Linked DNA regions of Ovis aries. The protein of the gene in region 1 purifies or fractionates together with the protein of each later gene. This does not show direct contact. Links are inferred from orthologs where the notes say so. Each region holds a gene or a part of one and is shown in the gene's direction. Other genes may lie near its edges.

Region 1 (10,649 bases):
CGAGACGGGGCAGAGGGCTTCGCCCCTGACCACGAGAACAGAAAACAACTGCCCAAATAGCCCATCTTTTGTGCAGTTGGCTCTATTTTCAGTTTCCAGGTTCACTGAAGCGTTTAGCACATAAGCCAGGCATATGGCCATTTGCTGAAAGGGCAGTAGATTCATCATAAGGAGAACCCCTCCCCGGCTCTTTCTTCTTTAGAGTTTCCAAAGTATCGAACGTAACCATGTGAGCTCAGCATGGTCTCTCCCATTTTACACAAAGGAAAACCAAGGAGGAGCCAGGGAAAGAGACCCAGGCCCCAGGATAAGCTGGACGACCTCCCAGAGTCAGGATCCCGGCACCCAGACTTCCGGTCCTGAGTTGCCCACACCTAGATTCATCTTGGGGCCACCTGGAAGCAGGTGTCTAAGTTGTAGAGTCTGGTGGACATATCCCTGAAATACTAGTGTCTAAATGTAGACCTCACCTCTTAATCCCAAGTTCTAAAGTGGAGAGAAACAAATAGAGCGGACAGGCTTCCTGAAACAATTAGAGTTTTCAGGAAGGTTCAGAGGGACCTGGGCTCAAATCCGAGCTTTACCACTTACCAGCAGGGAGACCTCAAGAAGGTTATTTTTACCTCTTTCAGCCTCAGTCTTCCCATCTGTGAGTGAAACGGGGATAACAGTAGCACCTGCCCGGAGGGTGGTTGTGTTAGATTCAGCACCGTTTGCGATGTCCCTAGCACAGGTGTCGCGTAAGAAACGTCACAGTGTGCACAACCTCTGCCTTCCTTCCCTTCTCAAGAGCTTTCATCTGCCGGACAGAAAGTTAGTCCCTTCATTCGGGAAGTAATGATTTGCAACTCAGCCCTCCACACCGGAACAGAGCTGGTTGTGCACTAGAAGCTTTGAAATCAACAGAAAGAAAGCTTCCCTAGATCTGTAAGGTCTTGAGACAGCCATCCAGTCCAATCCTCCCATTTAACAGCCTTCTGAGGCCCAGAAGAGGAGCGGTCTGCCGAAGATCTCAGGAAGTCAGGGGCGGAATCACGGCAGGAATCCTGACACGCCAGCTCCCCTGCTTTCCGACACACTCGTCTTATTGGACTGTTGGTTCCAGGGAATCGAGGGCTGCCCCTTCCCTGCATGCCCGCTGGTTCCTGCCCACTCTCTTTCAGACTGTTATTTTATTGCTGATTCTGGAGGTGGTTGAAGATCTGGGGATGGAAGCGGGACAGGGCAGTGATTTGCCGCCTTCACTAAGGGGGGTGTGTGTGTGTGTGAGAGAGAGAGAGAGAGAGGGAGTTGGCGGGGGCTGCGGGAGGGAGAGAGATGGGACTACCATTGACCAGGTAGTAAAGGAATCTGAGGTCATCTCCACATTGTCACAAAAACCTTGCAGGATAAGATGCAAACTATTATATATAGAATGGATGAACAACAAGGTCCTGCCATATGGCACCGGGAACTAGTCAATGTCCTGTGGTGAACCATATGGACAAGAATCTGAGAAAGAATATTATACACGCACACACACACACACACACGCACACACACGCACGCATGCTCAGTTGTGTCCGGCTCTTTGTGACTCCGGCGGGCTTCTCTGTCCATGGAATTGTCCAGGCAAGAATACTGGAGTGGCTTGCCACGTTCTCCTCCAGGGGATCTTCCCGCCCCTGGGATTGAACCGTGTCTCTTGTGTCTCCTGCATTCGCAGGTGGATTCTTGACCACTGGACCACCACGGAAGCCCATATACATAAATACATATATACATGCATGCACGCATACACACACACACATACATACACACATATGCACACACACATACACACACATACACACACATACATACACATACACACATACATACATACATACATACATAGATACATATATATATGCTGCTGCTGTTAAGTCGCTCTGTGCGACCCCATAGACGGCAGCCCACCAGGCTCCCCCGTCCCTGGGATTCTCCAGGCAAGAGTACTAGAGTGGGCTGCCATTGCCTTCTCCATATATCTCCATAGCTTCCCTGGTAGCTCAGACGGTAAAGAATCCGCCTGCAATGCAGGAGACCTGGGTTCGATCCCTGGGTTGGGAGGATCCCTTGGAGAAGGGGACATATACACATATATACATACATTCAACTGAATCACTTTGTATACAACAGAAACTAACACAGCACTGTAAATCAATGATACTTCAATAAAATAACTTGAAGAAACCTTGCAGGATAATATCAGCCCCATTTTCCATACTGAGTGAACCATTCATCAACATATATATTTAAACCCCTGCTGGGTGTTGGCGATACAGCCTTGAACAATTCTGAACAGTCTCCGCTCTCACAGAACTTCCAGTCTAGTGCTGAAGACATAAGAAAAAAAATTATATACAGAAGTATGGGATTGCAAAATGTGGTGAGTGCCACAAAGGGGAAAAAATTACACATTGCTGAGAATACAAGAAAGGGTTTGCTGTAGATCAGAGTATTAAAAAGGCCCCTTTGGAAAGAATGAGGAAACTGAGGCTGAAGGAGGATGGGTATATCTACCCAGTCATTCATCTTTTCAAGTTATTTTTATCCGGCTCTCTGCTCTCCGGACAGTCTGCAGAGGAAGGTAGGAACACCGAGATGAGGAGAAGGTTGCTTTCACAGGTCAAGCTCTGCCAAAATGATCTAGTGATTGCTGTGTGCTTTAAGAAAGGCGGCCAGGGCTAGCAGAGAGCTCAGATATACTGATAGTCCGCAGGAGCCACGGATGTGTCCTGTCGACAGACTTCCGGTGCATGCAGTTAGGCGAGTCTTTCCTCTCATTTGGCCTCAGTATGCTGATCCCACTGGCACCCCACTCCAATACTCTTGCCTGGAAAATCCCATGGACGGAGGAGCCTGGTAGGCTGCAGTCCATGGGGTCGCTAAGAGTCGGACACGACTGAGCGACTTCACTTTGACTTTCACTTTCATGCATTAGAGAAGGAAACGGCAACCCACTCCAGTATTCTTGCCTAGAGAATCCCAGGGACGGGGGAGCCTGGTGGGCTGCCGTCTATGGGGTCGCACAGAGTCGGACACGACTGAAGCGACTTAGCAGCAGCAGCATACTGATCCCAGGTGCATTATTCGAGCCCTACAGGTAATAAAAGTTAACTAGGTTTGAGGCTGGAGAAGGAGTGTCACTGACCACTAGGCTCATAGGGATGCGCTTATCTATTTCAAACCAAGTGTGCAAATTACTCGAGTTGGGAATATGTAGGTAGGATTTTTCTAAAGCGACTCCCACAACCGATTAACGGAGTTTCAGTTCAAGGCGGAAGCCTCTGGGATGCCCAGACCCTAAGGTTCGGAGTATACACTTGGTTAGGAGTTATGCGGCTCCCCAAAGGTAGGTGCCGAATTCCCATCTCCCGCTTAAATTAACGGCCCAAATCTGGCTCAGCCCTGAACAAAGATGGCGCCTCCGCTAGCCTCGTCCCGCGTGCCCTCACTAAAAATGGCGGCCTAACGCTCTTTCCTTCGGTCTTGCTGGTACAAGTGCAGGCGCTCTGCCCTTAGTTAATATGGCGCCCCGCCAGCGCTTCCCTGCCCGGTCTCCTGGCCAGTCCGGTTGGCTTCACCGCGCGCGCTTCGGCGACCCCGCCTCGTTTCCGTAGGAAGAAGCTCCGGGAAAGATGGCGGCCGCTGCGGTTTGAATTCCAGCGGCGCCGCCGGAGTCCGAACAAGAGCTGGGTTGGAGGGGGCGGGGACCTGGGGAGCCGGGCGGGTCGCGATCCCGCGGGGGAAGCAGTGGCGCCGTCGCTAGACACCAGCGGCACCACCTCCTCTGTGTCCACGATGGACTCGGTGTTGGAAGAAGACGTCACCCTCCCCGGGACGCGTAGCGGCTGCAGGTGCGGCCCGGGCTTTGTGGGTTCGCGGTAACCGGGCCGGGGTTCCCACGGATGGGGGTTCGGTCCATCCGAGACTCGAGGTTTGCCTCTGAGGGGGTGTGAGGGTTCCTGGCGTGGGGAGTGTGTGAGATGGGTTTCTTCGGGGACGGTCTCTTTGGGGACCCGCCCACTGATAACTGAGTGTAGGTGGTTGAGGGTCCCGCCCTGCGTCGCCCCCATGTCTCGTATTTCGGGACATATTTTGAAGAGGAGATGAGGGACAGGTGAGGGGTTTTCTGAAAGAGAGGGAGATGGAACGTCTTGGAGTGTGCAGTTAGTGAGGGCTGGTTGAGGGGCGGGGACCTTGAGGGTACTTGGTGGCTCATTGTGGTTTGGGGGTTTGCTTTCCTTGTAGGGAGTGTAGTTGGTCTGTCCAGACTTTGCTTATGAGTCACATAGTGGCCGCCATGACTCAGGCCGTGGGGTGCAGTGGTTAAGAACCTTGGCTGGAGTTGAACAGAACTGATTCAAGTTCTGCTACTGCTAAGCCACTCCAGTCGTGTCCGACTCTGTGCGACCCCATAGACGGCAGCCCACCAGGCTCCCCCGTCCCTGGGATTCTCCAGGCAAGAACACTGGAGTGGGTTGCCATTTCCTCCTCCAATGCATGAGAGTGAAAAGTGAAAGGGAAGTCGCTCAGTCGTGTCTGACTCTTCGTGACCCCATGGACCACAGTCTACCAGGCTTCTCCGTCCATGGGATTTTCCAGGCAAGAGTACTGGAGTGGGGTGCCATTGCCTTCTCCAGCCTGGCATATTATCAGTGCTTTAAAAATGATTTGGTCCCGCCATTATCACTACCACCATCGTCGTGGTCATCAACAGCAGTAGTACAAATTGGGGGATAATGGCCGAATGAACCTGTCCCAGGAGGCAGTTGGAGTCCACATTGCTGGTGGGGTGGGGGGTCTCTCTTGGGAGGGAGGCCTGAAAAGGTCCTGCACTGCTATCGAGTTGGGCCCCTTTGCTTGTCCTGGGCTCCTGGTTGGGGAGAGGGTAGGAGGACTCAGAGGAGAGCCCAGAGAACCTGTGGCATTTATCCAGCTCTGCCAGGAACAGGCTGCCTCTTTTGGTCCTAACTGAGAGGGTGACATGTTATTTGCTGTGTGCATATCTGGATGCTTTTAAGAGTAGAATGGACACAGTTAATATTTATTCCTGAGCAGCAGACATAAACAGGTCCTGTCTTGGGCAAGCCTGACAAATGGTTGCTCTGTTTATTGAGAGCCCAACAGAGAAACCATTCATACGGATGACAGAGGATGAGATGGTTGGATGGCATCATCGACTCAATGAACATGAGTGTGAGCAGACTCTGGGAGATGGTGAAGGACAGGGAAGCCTGATGTGCTGCAGTCCATGGGGTCGCAAAGTGTCGGACATGACTTAGTGAACAATTTTATCAGACACAGAGTAAGGCCCTTTGACGCTCCTGCTAGTTGAATCCTGAGGTGATTTGTCATGTTCCTTTCTCATCATCTTTCTGCCACTGCCTGGGTATATTGTGGGTTTCCCTGATAGCTCAGTTGGTAAGTGGTATATCACCCCTCACCTGGATTGCCCTAGTTTCCTTCACACCTCTGATAGCCTTTTATACTATAGCTCAAAAGCTCGTTTTAAAAGTACAAATCTGATCACCACAGTCTGCTGCTTTATATGTTGAATGCCTTTCATTGCCATTAAGTTAAAGTCCGTTATTACTCGGGGCTTCCCACGTGGCTCAGTAGCAAAGAATCTGCCTGCCAACGCAGGAGACTCAAGAGCTATGGGTTTGATCCCTGGGTGGGGAAGATCTGGAGTAGGAAATGGTTAACCCACTCTAGCGTTCTTGCCTGTGAAAATTCCGTGGACAGAGGAGCCTGGAGGCCTGCAGTCCATGGGGTTGCAAAGAGGCACATCACTCTCTCAGGCAGCTCTTCACATCTCAGTACCAGTTTTGGAATCTTGTTCAGTTGCTCAGTTGTGTCCACCTCTTTGAGACCCGCTGATCTGCAGCACACCAGGCCTCCCTGTCCATCACCACCTCCCGGAGCTTGCTGAAACTCAGGTCCATTGAGTTGGTGACGCCATCCAACCATCTCGTCCTCTGTCGTCCCCTTCTCCTCATGCCCTCAGTCTTTCCCAGCATCAGGGTCTTTTCCGATGAGTTGGCTCTTTGCATCAGGTGACCAAAGTATTGGAGCTTCAGCCTAGACCTAGCTGGGTTTCCATCCCACTTCTGACACTTAACAATCATGTGACCTTGGGCAAGTCACCCTCTGTGAGCCTCAGTTTTCATCATCTGTAAAATGGATGAGTCTAAAAGAGTTTAGCCCAATGTCTGACCCAGAATAGCAACTCAGCAAAACATCAAACATTTTCCTTGTTCTCCTCTCCCTGCCTTTGCTGGTAACCCTGGTGCTGCATACATTGCTGAGCTAATCTCTTACCTACTTAAGACTCTCCCTGGCTCCTTTCTGCCCCCAGGATCAAGTTCTTTAATGCGGCTTCTGAGCTCCTTTGTACTGCGGCCCCATCTACCTCACTAGGGTCCTGCCTCCCCTCTCCCTTCCCTGTTTCCTCTCCAAGCCTGTCACCTGCCGGCTGCCAAACTGTTATGAATGACCTGCCTTGTTCTTTCTGCTGCTGGGCCTGGGTACTTGCTGTGCCTGCCGCCTGGATTGCCCTCTCTCCTCTGCTTTGCCTTATTTTTCACATCTCAGTTTAGATGTCACTGCCAGGAATCCTTCACTGACATCCCCTCTCCCCACCTGGGCCCTCTGTTCTCCTTTAGTCCCCCATCACTGATGTATTCACAGCCCTTATTGACATCACTGAATTTTCTCTTTTTTTGACCATATCATGCTGGATCTTAGTTCACTGGCCAAAGGTCAAACCCAAGTCCCCTGCGGTGGAAGCTTGGAGTCTTAACCACTGGCCTGCCAGAGAAGTCCCATGACTTCACTGAATTTTTTCAACTAATGCAGTCCAATCAGTATATAATTTGAGCCATGTATGTAATTTAAAGTTTTCTAATAGCCACATTAAAAGTGTACAAAGAAACTGCTGAAATTAGTTAATGTTTTATTTAACCTAATATTTCCATATATTATCATTCTAACTTGTAGTCAAATAAATGCTAACGAGATATTTTGCTTTCTCTCTGATCTTACTGAGTCTCTGAAGTCCGGTGTGTGTCTTGCACTTACCACCCTTCTCGATTTAGAGGCGCCGCATCTCAGGTGCTCGGTCGGTCCATACGCTGGCCGCTGCAGGCACAGCTGTTAACTTGTCTTTCTCCCAGACTCGACTCTGACCTGCGTTGAGAACAGGGGCTGCATTGTGACCATCTTTGTAATTCGACTTCCTAACCTGGTATCTGGCTCATGGTAGGGGCTCAGTACCTGTCTGTTAATTCCCTGGATGAACAATGGTCCAGTGAGGTGACGGTTTTATTCACTTTTTCCAGGTGAGGACACTGAGGTTCAGAGAGGTGAAGTGAGCACCCTGAGATCCCACCAAAAAGCACATGATCAAGCCAGGATTTAAAATCCAGGCCTGCATACTCCAAAGTCTGGCTCTCGGTGCCCCATCCTGCCTTTCACCTAGTTCTCTGAACCAAATCTGAGAGGATTCTGGGAGGATTTTGTGGAACTGCTGTGGGCTGGAACTGGCCCTCAGAGTCAGCTTCTCCATCAGGTGGTCCGAGTGGAGGAGAAAAACCCCTGGAACATGAGGAATCTTTTTATGCTGATATGGATGCTCTTCTGCTTGGTAATTTCCAGGCCCCGGTTTTAGAGACTGAACTGAAGTCGGATTGTCCTTGGCCTTCTGTTGAGTTTGGGCAGTGTGTGTCCTCCTCTCCAGGCTCGGTCACCGGTGGGTACCCCAGGAGCTCCGGCTCTGTGAGGTTTAGGCCTGGATCCTGGTCCTTGGGGCCCTTTCATTAGGCCCGATGGTGTTGGAAGGACCTGGGCTTTGTGCGCAGGACGCCTGCGTCAGAGTCCTGCCTCAGCGGGGTGCTGGCCGTGTTGCTGGGGTTTTCACGTAACTGTCCTAATTCTCAGTTTCCTTCAGTGAAGTTTCTGTTTTGTTGGGTGACTTTGTGGATGAAGCAAAGTTGCATGTTTTAAGCACCTGGAACCGATGGGGGAGTACATTCAGTGTTGGCTGGTGTTTGTTTAGCTATTACCGTGTTACACCGTTTTCTGGACAAAGTCCTCTGTGCCCACTCCCCTGGGTTCACCCCTTTGGTTTCATGCCAAGGATTCTGCCTCTGCCTGAGTTTCCAAAGGCCTGGCCAGGCCTGTTCATCTGTGGGTTCCTTAAGCACATGGCCATTAAGTGCCTCCTGCCTGCTTAGGGGCAGACCCAAAAAAATGGCTCCTATAAGTTTGTACACAGTTTGTACTTTCTCAGGCAAAGAATATCTTCGTGGATTTTGTAAAAGGAGATTGAGAAAGAGGATGGCAGAATGAAATTTCTGGTGAAGGCTTGCCACTTACCAACTGAGGCTTGGTGAAGCTTCATCCAGGGCCGACCTCGGACTAGAGGTACCCCTGGGCTGTGAGGTTTGAGGAGATGCTCCCGGTCGCCAGGGTTAGCTCAGCAAGGGCAGGGAGCGTGTCTGGCTTCTTCCCGATTGGATCTTTAGAAGGAACGAAGTCTGATATATAGTAGAGGCTCAACAGTTATTTGTTGAATGAATCAATCTTGTTCAGTCTCTGTTTGAAAAGATAAATACCGTGAATATAGGCTCCCTATTTTGTAGTGAAATGCTGCTTTATAATCACTGCGTGAAAAAGTGCACAGCAGAGTGTAAATGGTACAAGCTTGTTGGAACACAGTTTGGCATTAAAAATGTGCCTTGTGTGTTTTTAACAGCTTTACTGAAATCTGATTTATATGCCATAAAGTTTACCCATTTGAAATATACTATTCAGTGTTTTTTTTTTTTTTTAGTATATCTACAGAGTTGTGCAATCATCACCATAATCTTAATTTTAGAACATTTTCATTATCCAGAAAACCCTGTGCCCATTAGCATTTACTTCCAGTCTTAGCTTGGGCTGCTGTAACAGAAAACTGTAGACTGGGTAACTTACTGACTACCTGCGTGAATCCTCAGTCGTGTCCAGCTCTTGGCGCCCCCATGGACTGTAGCCCGCCAGGCTTCTCTGTCCATGGAGTTTTCCGGGCAGGAACACTGGAGTGGGCTGCCATTTTCTGTGCCGGGGGATCTTCCTGACCCGGGGACTGGAGCCCCGTCTCCTCTGCCTCCCGCGCTGGCAGACGGAGTCTTTACCACTCGCACCGCCTGGGAAGCCCGTTATTGACATCAGAAGTTGGTTTCTCACAGTTCCTGCGCCTGGAAGCATGAGGTCAGGGTGCCGGTGTGGTCAGGTTCTGGTGAGGACCTGCTTCTCACTGTACCCTCATGTGGTGGAGAGCAAAGAGAGGAGGTGGGAGCCCTGGGAACGCTTCAAGGCGCCAGCGCCACTCCTGAGGGCGCCACCGTCTCCACCTCATCTGGTCTGAATCACCTCCCCGAGGCTCACCTCCTAATACATCCCGCAGGTGGGGCCTGGGCTGATCGTATGAATGCCGGAGGACACGGTTAGCCTGCACCACTCCCCGTTCCACCCCCTGCACCCTTCCTGCACCCTAGGCAACCACAGTCTGCCTTTTGTCTATAGGTTTGGCTATTCTGGACATTTCATGAAAGTGAGATATTACAATATGTGGACTTTTGTGAGACTCCTCTGTGTTGTAGCATGTGTTAAGACTTCATTCCTTGCTGTGACTGAGTATTCTGTTTTAAACATGTACCCGTTTCTGTTCGTTGATTGGTTGCTGATATTTAGGTTCTTGCTTTTCTGGCTCTTTTGCTATAAACATTTATGTGTGTACAAGTTTTTGTGTGGACATAAATTTTCATTTCTCTGGGAGTAGGGTTGCTGAGTCGTGTGGTAACTCTGTGTATTTAGCATTTTGAGGACCCGCTCAACTCTTTTCCAAAGTGGCTGCACCATCTCACACGCTCAGCATCCTACACTCTGTGTGAGGATCCTTATTTCTCCATTGCCTTGTCAGCACTTATTATTGTCTGTCTTTTATTGTAGCCACCCTGTGGGATGTGGCATGGTATCTCATTGTGGGACTGATTTGCATTTCCCTAACAGCTGACCATGTGGGACATTTTTTCATGTCATATTAGCCACTTGTATATTTTCAAACCCTTCGCCCATTGAAAAAATGTAAATGTATTTAGACATGGCAATTCCACTTCTTGTTATCTATCGAAAAATCCTCCTGCTTGTGTACAGTGAGACGTGTATAAGGAGATACAGCATTGTCTGTGAAAAGGAACAACTTGGAAAGAAGTTGAGTTTCCTACACAGTTCAGTTCAGTTCAGTCGCTCAGTCATGTCTGACTCTGTGCGACCCCATGAATCGCAGCACGCCAGGCCTCCCTGTCCACCACCATCTCCCGGAGTTCACTCAGACTCATGTCCATCGAGTCCGTGATGCCATCCAGCCATCTCATCCTCTGTCGTCCCCTTCTCCTCTTGCCCCCAATCCCTCCCAGCATCAGAGGGATGTTTCTAATGAGTCAGCTCTTCACATGACGTGGCCAAAGTACTGGAGTTTCAGCTTTAGCATCATTCCTTCCAAAGAAATCCTAGGGCTGATCTCCTTCAGAATGGACCGGTTGGATCTCCTTGCAGTCCAAGGGACTCTCAAGAGTCTT
Region 2 (9,577 bases), on another chromosome or scaffold:
CAACATCTGCTCTGCGTTTTGTCTGATAAACCAGATGGAACTCTGAACAGCAAGGTTGGTTCTGGTCACAGATGTCATGGGAGCCAAACCCTGTGATAATTTCTGAGGAGAAAGTCTGGTTCTTCTAAAGCACTTGGTGCAACAGCTCTGCTGTGGAGACTTCTGAGGAGGATGTCTTTGTCCTGTGACCAAGTTTCACTGTTTTTTTCCTTTTAGATGGAAAAGTTGTACCTGCGTTATTTGAGAGCAGAGAGCTTTAGAAAAGCCCTGATTTATCAGAAGAAGTACCTTCTGCTGCTCATCGGTGGCTTCCAGGACTCTGAACAGGAAACCCTGTCCATGATCGCCCACTTGGGGGTGTTCCCTTCCAAAGCAGACAAGAAGGCAACGGAGTCCCGCCCCTTCACCAGGTTCCGCACGGCCGTCAGGGTGGTGATCGCCGTCCTAAGGTACTGCCTGTCTGCTGGTGTGAGGTCCTTCGGTCTTTTAAACTCTACAGTTGTTTCCTCGTTTAAGATGAATGACATTTGAGGCCTTAAAATGTAAACGACCTTTATCTTCTGGAAACCACTCTGTGCAGAGCTACACCTTCTGAGACAGAAGTGTATAAGGCTGCCTTTTTATTATAAAACTAAGCCTTCCTCTTAACGGGGCTCTTGTGACGACAGTCTGATCATGGTTAAAACTGTATTTTGCTTCTTTACATTTCAGTTTCTTATATTTTAGTCAAATCTGTGTTACATGAAGGTCGACATGTGCACAGGAAGACATGCCCTCCCCCTGCCCCCAGGTGGCATGTTCCAGCCCTCCCTGTAGACAAGCTCTGAGCCTGCGCTGTGGGCAGGGGGTGCCCCTGCCTCTGAGTGTCCACCTGCCTGGCCCTGCCCAGCCTCCAGTGTGTGTGCAGGAGGCACTTTTGGAGTGAGGTGGACTCCCTGGTGTGACGACAAGAAATTTTGACTGTTTCACAATTAACAGTGATGAAAATCTATTTCGTTTTATAATTTTAATATCTGCTCTATCTCTAAAAACGTCTGTTCTACTAAGAACTGTACATCTGTGTCTGCTCTGTGTTGCCCACGGAGGTGCCTCTTCCAGGCCATACTCACCTGTCAGCAAGAACAGGTGCCATGGGGTGAGCGGGGCACCCTGGCTCTTTCCTGGACTGTATGCGAAGGTCAGGGGGTCCCAAGGCCCTCGAGATGCAGCGCCCCAGCTGGTTCAGCTGCACACCTACTAGGAGCCCCCCGTGGGGGTGGGCACTTCCCTCTGCGTTCTTCTGAGGGCAGACCGTCCACCCACCTGACTGTCACTCTGAAACCCATCTGTCATGTAGTTTTGGAGAGCCTACCCTGGGCCAGGAAGAAGGTCACATGTGGGTGGGGGTGGCCAGATGGTCCGTCTTCTGGTCAGTACACAGCGGTGCTTCGCAGCCTTGGGACCCAGCAGCAGCAGTGCTATCGGGGCGCTGCCAGGGGTCATCGAGGAGAAGGGTCTCGGAGCCCCCACACTGCTTCACCTCTGGTCCCCATGAATGGAGCGATGCATAGAGAGCAAGAGGCCATCGACCCAGACAGACCTCAAGCTGGCGGGGCTAGGAACTGAGAGCGGGGCTGGGAGCACAGGGCGGGGCGGGGCTGTGATTGGAAGGGCTGGGAGTGGGGCGGGGCCTGGGAAGGTGCTGGCGACTGCCTGGGTGGGGCTGGGGGGCGGGGCTGTGATTGGAGGGGCAGGGTGGGGCCTGTGGAGGTACTGCCAGGGTGGGGGCTGTGCTCGCACTACAGGGTCTGCTGCTGCTAAGTCACGTCAGTCGTGTCCGACTCTGTGCGACCCCATAGACGGCAGCCCACCAGGCTCCCATCCCTGGGATTCTCCAGGCAAGAGTACTGGAGTGGGTTGCCATTTCCTTCTCCAGTGCATGAAAGTGAAAGTGAAGTCTCAGTCATGTCCGACTCTTCACAACCCCATGGACTGTAGCCTACCAGGCTCCTCTGTCCGTGGGATTTTCCAGGCAAGAGTACTGGAGTGGGGTGCCATTGCCTTCTCCGACTACAGGGTCTGGTCAGGGCTAAATGTTCTTGGTTATTTACACCCCGACTTTGCTCTGGTTTTCAGTGTTTTTCTTCCTTTTTTGTAGATTACGCTTTTTGGTTAAGAAGTGGCAACAAGTAGATGGCAGAGGAGCCCTAGCCCCAGGCCAAGTGCTGCGCCCAGGTACCTCTGACCCCACATGTTTCAGTATCGGGGTTCCTTCTCAGTGCCAGGTGGGAAGACACAAAGCATAGTGAGAAACCAGCGACTCAGCCAGTACACTTGTCAGGAGGTGCAGGGATTTAGAAGGAAAATGGTTTTTATTTGGGCAACAAACACAGATTTGTATAGTTAATATCTATGAAGAAAGCGGTTCAGAGGAGCATAGCAATGACTGAAGGATACAGAAATGCTGAATGTATTGACTGATAGTTTATTTTCAATAAAAAGTCTTTCTATTCCTTAAATGGAGTGAAGTTCTACTTCACTCAGGGAGCATGGCTGCATCCTTTGTTTCAGTCCCGTCCAGTCTGCGGTTGTTTGCTACCATATCTGACCAGCCAGGCCCGGGTGTAGCCAAGCCACCTGGGCCATCTGCAGTGGTCAGTGCCCTACATGGCCACTGGGCTTCCCTAGTGGTGCCCGTCAGCTTAGACTTCCACGTGTGAATCCTCACATCTTGAAGTCAGATGGCTTCAAGGTTCTTCAGGAGGTTTCCCCACACCCCCTGCCTCTGATGAACCTGATGGCCTCCAGGGTTTCTGCGTCTCTCACTCCTCAGAGCTGGGTGTGGGAGATCCACTTCAGGCCACTCAGTGCCCTCCTCTCTCCATTGGGGTGCTGAGCCCTCCTCCAGGATACTGCCCACCCAGATGCAGATGGTCAGGGACTGCCTTTGCAGGAGCAAAATGCAGGTGCTCAAAACTCAGTTTCCTTCTTGAGGTTTTTTTAATACAGTCCTTATAACGAATACTTTTTAAATGTCTAGAAATTGTCATGCAGGCTCTTAAAAGCTTGTAAATTTTAAATTTTGGTGGATGAGCCTTTACTAAAATGCATTTTTTCTCTTTCCTTAATCCCTTTGTTGTTAACTATTCCTAGGGGAAGGATTCCTGGTACCACGGCGGCAGCAGTCTCCACCTGTCACCCGTGAATCCCCACCCACCCGGGATGTGTCTTCCAGCCAGCCCAGGGACCCTGTGTCAAAAGCATCCCCACGCAGGAGGGAAAGGTGAGTGGAGGAGTCTCAGCTGCTTTTCCACTACGGGGTCCTAGCTGTCGGCAGGGGCAAGTCTGCAGAGAATGGGGCCTTGCACAGAAGTGTTCCGGGGCAGATTTGTGTGGGTGCCCGGGTCCGCCTCCAGTGGAAGGGCCCCCAGGCACGTGAACCCCCACACACATGCACACACTCATTCACACACATGGAAGGGTTTGGTGTTAGCTTTACTTAATCTCTTTTCTTTGGGATTTGGGGGTTTTGCATGTGTAATATGTCTTTATACTTATGACTTACTTGGCAAGTGAGATGTTGGAGTGATAATGTTAAACATCTGTAAGTTATTTGGGGGAATAGGGTTTTCAATTAGGCTGTGTAGTTAAATGGTAGAGTGTAATCCCGTTTACAAATTCAAGTGAGGAAAGGTTTCCCTGGTGGCTGGGGTGGTGGGAGCTGTGATTCTGTGAGACTGTGAAGTGCTGCAGCCGTGGGGTCACATGCGCGGCCTTGATCATCTTCATGATTTGCACCCCAGTTTCCTGACCATGAGATTTCTCAGCCAAGCGCTGCATGTGAGAGAGATGTGATTTCCATTTCCACTTCAGATTGACACATAAGTAGTAATAATTGTATCCAAATGCTCAAGTATGATTTAACAAGTCATTTATTTCATTCTTTTGCCTTTGAACCTACCCATGAAGCGGGTAGAAAAGCTCAGTTTGTATCTGTGGTGTTGGACCTGCACTGGGGCCGGGCAGGTGTGTCATCTGCTTTCTCTGCGAGTGCTTTCCTGGGACTCAGAAAGGAGCTCTCAGAGCAAACACGTCCACCTCTGCCCCCAGCTAGCAGGATGAAACATGTTTGCTGTCTCACTTCATGGCCTCTGGTTGGTGATGACGCCTCCATTTGAACTGTGTGTTAAGAGTGTGACAATCTTGGGCATAACTGCCCTGACCGGAGGAGCCAGGCCCACAAGTACGGGCAGCCTGCTGTGCTAGAGGCTGTGTTTCTGCTCATGTGTGTCTCTGCTGAGCATATCCTACCAGTGCATGTAGTCCCTCCGAGAAATGTGTTTTGAAAGTCATGGCCCCAGAGTGAGGCAGAGCGTACAGACACGTGAGCCTGTGAGGACCCAAAAGCCTGGTTCTGTTCGAGGAGGGCAGGGACTCTCAGTACGGCTGTGGCCCCCCTGGGCCCAGGCTGGTGCTCCTCTGAAAGAATAAGTGGTGGCCAAGGCCTCTTGTGTGTGGATGGTGCTCGGGTGAGTAAGATGCTCGCTGCCCTGGGAGCAGCAGTGGGCCGTGACATGGTCACTGGAGGTCAGGAGGAAAGGCAGCCACATGAGGGATGCTGGGCTGAACCGGGTGGAATGCTAGGTAGAAACTTGTGTGTGAAGATTTATTGAATTAAATAATACATAATAATACACAATAGCTTTTAGTCATCTTATACTTGGAGACCTTGTAAAAAAGTTAGTTTCTAAAGGACAGTGTAGCACTGTTTTTAAAGCCATACTTTCCCTTTGTGGTGAAGAAACGATGGGAAGATAACATCATTTACCCCGTTTCCCACTAGTGTGCAGTCCTGGTGCCACTGCCTGTCACACCCCTGCATTCTGTCTGCTGAGTTGACTTCTTTTTTGTCCCTTGGTTGTTTGTGTGTTTGAAGATCCAGTCCACCCTCAAATCCCAGATCAGAAAGATCCCTGACTGCTTCTCAAGATCCAGAACATTCCTTGACAGAGTATATTCACCACTTAGAAATGATCCAGCAAAGACTGGGAGGCATGCCACCAGGTAACCCAAGTCCTGTCTTCCCCCGTGACCCGAGAGACTCGGGAGCGGTCAGTCGTGGAGGTGGTTGGGATGCAGCCTGGTCAGCCTTGTCAGTATCTGTCCTGCTGACCAGCCGTCGCTGAAGTACCAGGAGGAGGGTTGGTAGAAGTACCAGTGCAGGCACCTGAGGGCTGGGGCGGGGTGAAGGGCACACCACGTGGGGGTTGCGGGCTCAAGCACCAGATGGGCCTCCGGGCCTTCGTCTCACACGGCCATCACGCCGTGTTCACAGGGTGTCGTCTGTTCAGTTTCTCATCCCTCATAGTTTAAACTACTGTGCCTCTTGATTGCTGTTTCTGTTTTCACCAAAAATAAGATTAATGCAATGGAAGTGTTTGGAAATTGTGAAATTCCTCTTAAAAGACGTGAAGCCTTCTAACAGATTGCTTCCTCATTTCTCTTTGTGTTCAGAGTCCACTTCAAAGAAGTCCTGCTGCCAGAAGATTAAACAGTGAATAAAGTCCTGTGACAATTTTGAGGAAGACATTTGATTTTCTGAGGGGAAGCTTGTGCTGTGGCATGCTGAGTGCCAGCCCCGTGTCATCCGTTAAGTGTTCTCACCCTTACATTTTGCTGTGAAGCCAAATGGGGTATTTTCTTTGTAATTCAGCACATTTTAGCTTCTCATCTTGATGAGGTAGCCCCTTGGTTTCAGTCATGCCTGCATGCCTACCTCCACAGAGGATAAGCAGAGGATGACTTCCTGTTTATTTTCTTAAAGTGTACAGCTGGAAACTTGGTTTAAAACAAAAACATTAAAAAAAAAAAAAAAGAGCCCTGATGTACTTGTGAATAGTCCTGTGTTTTGTTGTTTCGTTTCTCCAGTTCACTTTTATCACTGGCAAAAAAATAAAAGTTAGAATTTTTTTTATAAACTCCTGTCAGTCAAAAAAACTCTGAAAGCGCTGGTAAGACAAATAGCCATGTGCCTGTTGACTCACCTTGCTTGGGCTCTTATTTTATTTTTGTCAGACGTATTTATTTCTCACGATTAGGATCTTCTTTATGTTTTACTCGTGCTCACCTGTACCTGGTAGTGATGTCCAGCCAAGTGTCCTTTACCCAAACAGCCACTGTAAAGGCATATGTACAAGTATCTCAGTGTGTTTCTAGGACCTTTGAACGTGATGTTTATTCTGCTGGGCTTGGTTTCAATACACAGCTTCTTCTAAGCCACTGCTTATCTGTCTTTGGGATGGGTTTTTCTCTGTCTGCAGCTTGGGTGCGTTTGCTGCCGCTTGGCCAGTATGCCGTAGGTCACTGTTCTACAGCCATCCTACCTTTTCCAGTCAGTCCTCATTCTTCGTGTGATGTTGCTGAAGCCGAAATCTTGACCGGCTCCAGGCGCAGGAATCCAAGAAATGGCCTTTCACTCTCAACGTCCAGAAGAATGACAGTTGAAATTTATGATCAAATACTGAATAAATAAATATCCATGTACATCAGTGTTAAGCTAACGAGGGAGGGACTGGGCTCATAACCACCATCACACCAACTTGTTACCATGGGGGTTGATAATTGAAAAGAACACAGGTCACACCTGCTGATGAGGGAAATTCTTCATAGTAAAGCACCAGCTTATTAATATAGAGGGAGCGATAGATACAGTTAGAAAACCTCCAGTTCTGCCCTAAAATAATCAGTTCACATTAAGTTCATCAGAAGATCCTAAAACCAAGGGGAGGTTCCCCTTCATGGTGCAGGGGCCAAGGAGTGTCCACTGTGACCCCAGGGCACAGTCTCCTGCAAGGCAGATGTCACGTGGGAAGTAGGAGGGATGTCCAGAGTAGCAGTAAGGTAGAAAGGGCAGTGCCCTGCATCCACACATCTTCCTTCCATCACATGGGCTGGGTTTTCTGGGCCTCACTGAGCTGGTTGGGTGACAAGCACTGTACTTCCTAAAAGATCTGAGCCCTCAACAGTCTTGTTTCTAGAGGACTTCCTTTCTTACACAGTCAAACCTGAAAGTACTGAGTACAGGAGGTGTCCCTGGAGATACCAAGTTACAGGTACAGGTTTCACTGTGCTCGTACTGTGCCAGCCCCCAGGCTTCCCCTCAGTGACCGGGTCACTTACACCAGCCGATGCAGGAACCCCCACCCCTGCTGGTTCAGAGGGACCACTGTCACCAGCACAGCAGAGCCCATGGATGGAGCAGAGTCACGGATAGAAAGCAGTTACTCCCCCAGGGTTGTCTGACAGCAGTAAGAGGGGCACGTCCCACCTTCTGTGGCCCCAGGCTGATATATTCGGCTGCAGGAGAAATGGCCATAAGTGGGTCGGCAGAAGGGAGGCCTTCCCAGTAAGCTGAGCTGCACCTGGGTGACATCAAGGAATCCCGGGGTCATGAGCCTAGCATGTACTTTTGCTGTAAGAAGAGTTTTCTGTCAGAAGCAGTGATGGTGAGCAAGGAATTTGGGAAGTCCCTAGAGGATTCCCAGCAGAAACAGCAGGTTCATCTGCAGAACAGGAGAGGACCGGGCACAGGGACTCGCAGCAGACATTCCATGGGAACCCTAGAGAGCTGTTGCCATAACTCTCACCTTCTCAACCTGCTTGCATCATCTTGTTCACCGCCACCTCTCCATCACCACCCAAATGTCCTGCAGTACAGTTCTGACACTACCTGGGGTCAGCATAGAGTCCCCAGGCAGCCCACACTTCTGCCTGGCCAGCTATAAGCTTGCCTGAGCATCAGACCTGCAGGTCTTTGTCCAGGTCTCACTCAAACCCAACAGCCTCTGGCTTTCTCAGTCAGTAGGCTGGAGCAGCAGCCAAGATGTGGTCACAGAAAGGTCCACATGCACCAAGCCTGGGCCTCTCTTAGTTGTGGGCTCTGCAGGGTGTCTTTGACTACTTGTCTTTCATTCTGGAACGGAAACCGTGATAGTCCACACACCACAGATGTTTCAAAGAATTTAGCTCTCACCATCTAAGGCATCTAGGGTACTACTTCCTACTCACTAGGACCAATTATTATGATATGATGATATATAAGCAAAGACCCTAAGGTAAGGCAGAGAAGTTGTCCCTGCCCACTGAGGAAGAATGACAAGGGAACTTCACGGTAAAAGCTTTCATGATTGCACCTGGGACATGCCATCACCTCTGGACCCCATCAAAATTGTATCCCCCAAGAGCTAGAGAAGTACAAGCAATAAAACTAGATGTAAACAGCAGCCTTCCACTGAAAACCAGAAACAGTATGGTCTCAGCTCAGGTTGCTATGACAAAATATAAACTGGGCGGTGTATAACCAATGGAACTTTGTCTCAGAGTTCTGGAGGCTTAAGGTTCAAGATCAGGGTGCTGACAGGGTGGGTTCTGGTGAGGGCCCCTTCTGAGTTGGAGACAGCTGACTATTCCTCGTGTTATCACATGATGGAAAGCACAATGGGGAGCGAGTGCTCTCATGACCCTTGTAAAGGCACTAACCCCTGTCCTGAGGGCTCCACCTCACAGCCTCATCTGCCCCCCAGAGCTTCTACCTCCCGCTGCCATCCCACTGTGGGTAGGATTTCATCACAGGAGGCTTGTCCATCACCAGTGCACACAGAGCTGGCCTGAACAGACCCTGGAGGCATACATGAATGACTCAGCAGGTGGTCAGACTCGTGGTGCTGAATCTTCCTCCTACCTCATGTCTCCTCTTCAGGCTGTATCTGTGGTTTCAGGGTACATTCCCTGTGACCAGCTGGCAGAACAGGAGGAAGCACAGGTTTGTTCTGCAGATGGATCTGCAAGAGTGCTAGCCTCAACCAAAAGTAGACAGTTGTCACACATATCCAGCTTGGGGCTGTGGAAGATTTCCTATCAGCCAACTTTGGATGGTGCATTGTGGTCCATTGTGTATAGAAAGAGCACTGATCTGAGTTCCTGATTGATAAGTTTTCCCTGAGTAGTTGATTGTCCAGCTGGTTAACACTTGACAGAGAAAAGATTGCCAAGTGGTACCAAGGATGTCTACAAGGCAGTAAGGAGACCTGCCTCCCACAAGACCCACTGTGGAAGTGCAGAAGGTGGACAAGATGACTTGCCTGGGGGTGTCACTCAGCTTCTTTCTTCAAGTGGCAGCAACCAGACCTCTTACCAAGGCCTCCTGGCTTCTTCCTGGCATTCTTCTCAATGCTTGAACTGCCAACAGCAGAGGCCAATGCTGAGCCCTTCATGTGGTGAGCTGGTTCCTGCCATCACGGAGGAGGCAGTGATTGGTTCCACCAGGAACAGACACAGTTCAAGTGTGGCTTCGGCTCCCCTGTCTGCAGTACATCTGCTGACACCACTATCTATGGACCTGGAGATGTTTTACTCGTTGCTGTAGTTCTACATGACGCTGCCCCTTAGAAGCAAGCATACTTTAAAGCAATGAAAGTGCAGGATGAACTCGCACATAGACTCCACTGGTCTAACATGTTGTAGGCGGTCACCAAGAAGACATGACTGCTGGTTGACCTGTGAGTTGGCCCTGGGCTGTCAGAGTTGTGCATTCCGCTTG

Evidence for each region. Proteins that work in one complex are often made in the same cells at the same time.
Region 2: the proteins of CDK5RAP2 (region 1) and PCNT purify together in Homo sapiens (co-immunoprecipitation; 4 studies listed by BioGRID and IntAct, with this or other methods). This does not show direct contact. The link is inferred for Ovis aries from reciprocal best matches to the Homo sapiens genes CDK5RAP2 and PCNT.

What each region holds. Positions count from the first base shown.
Region 1 is NC_056055.1:2,935,570-2,946,218, forward strand, and holds the start of CDK5RAP2 (CDK5 regulatory subunit-associated protein 2), read left to right. Parts: upstream 1-3,642; 5' UTR 3,643-3,825; coding exon 3,826-3,881; intron 3,882-10,649. UniProt on the Homo sapiens protein: Potential regulator of CDK5 activity via its interaction with CDK5R1. Negative regulator of centriole disengagement (licensing) which maintains centriole engagement and cohesion. Involved in regulation of mitotic spindle orientation.
Region 2 is NC_056054.1:266,841,783-266,851,359, forward strand, and holds the end of PCNT (pericentrin), read left to right. Parts: intron 1-216; coding exon 217-449; intron 450-2,137; coding exon 2,138-2,214; intron 2,215-3,132; coding exon 3,133-3,262; intron 3,263-4,915; coding exon 4,916-5,043; intron 5,044-5,493; coding exon 5,494-5,537; 3' UTR 5,538-5,957; downstream 5,958-9,577. UniProt on the Homo sapiens protein: Integral component of the filamentous matrix of the centrosome involved in the initial establishment of organized microtubule arrays in both mitosis and meiosis. Plays a role, together with DISC1, in the microtubule network formation.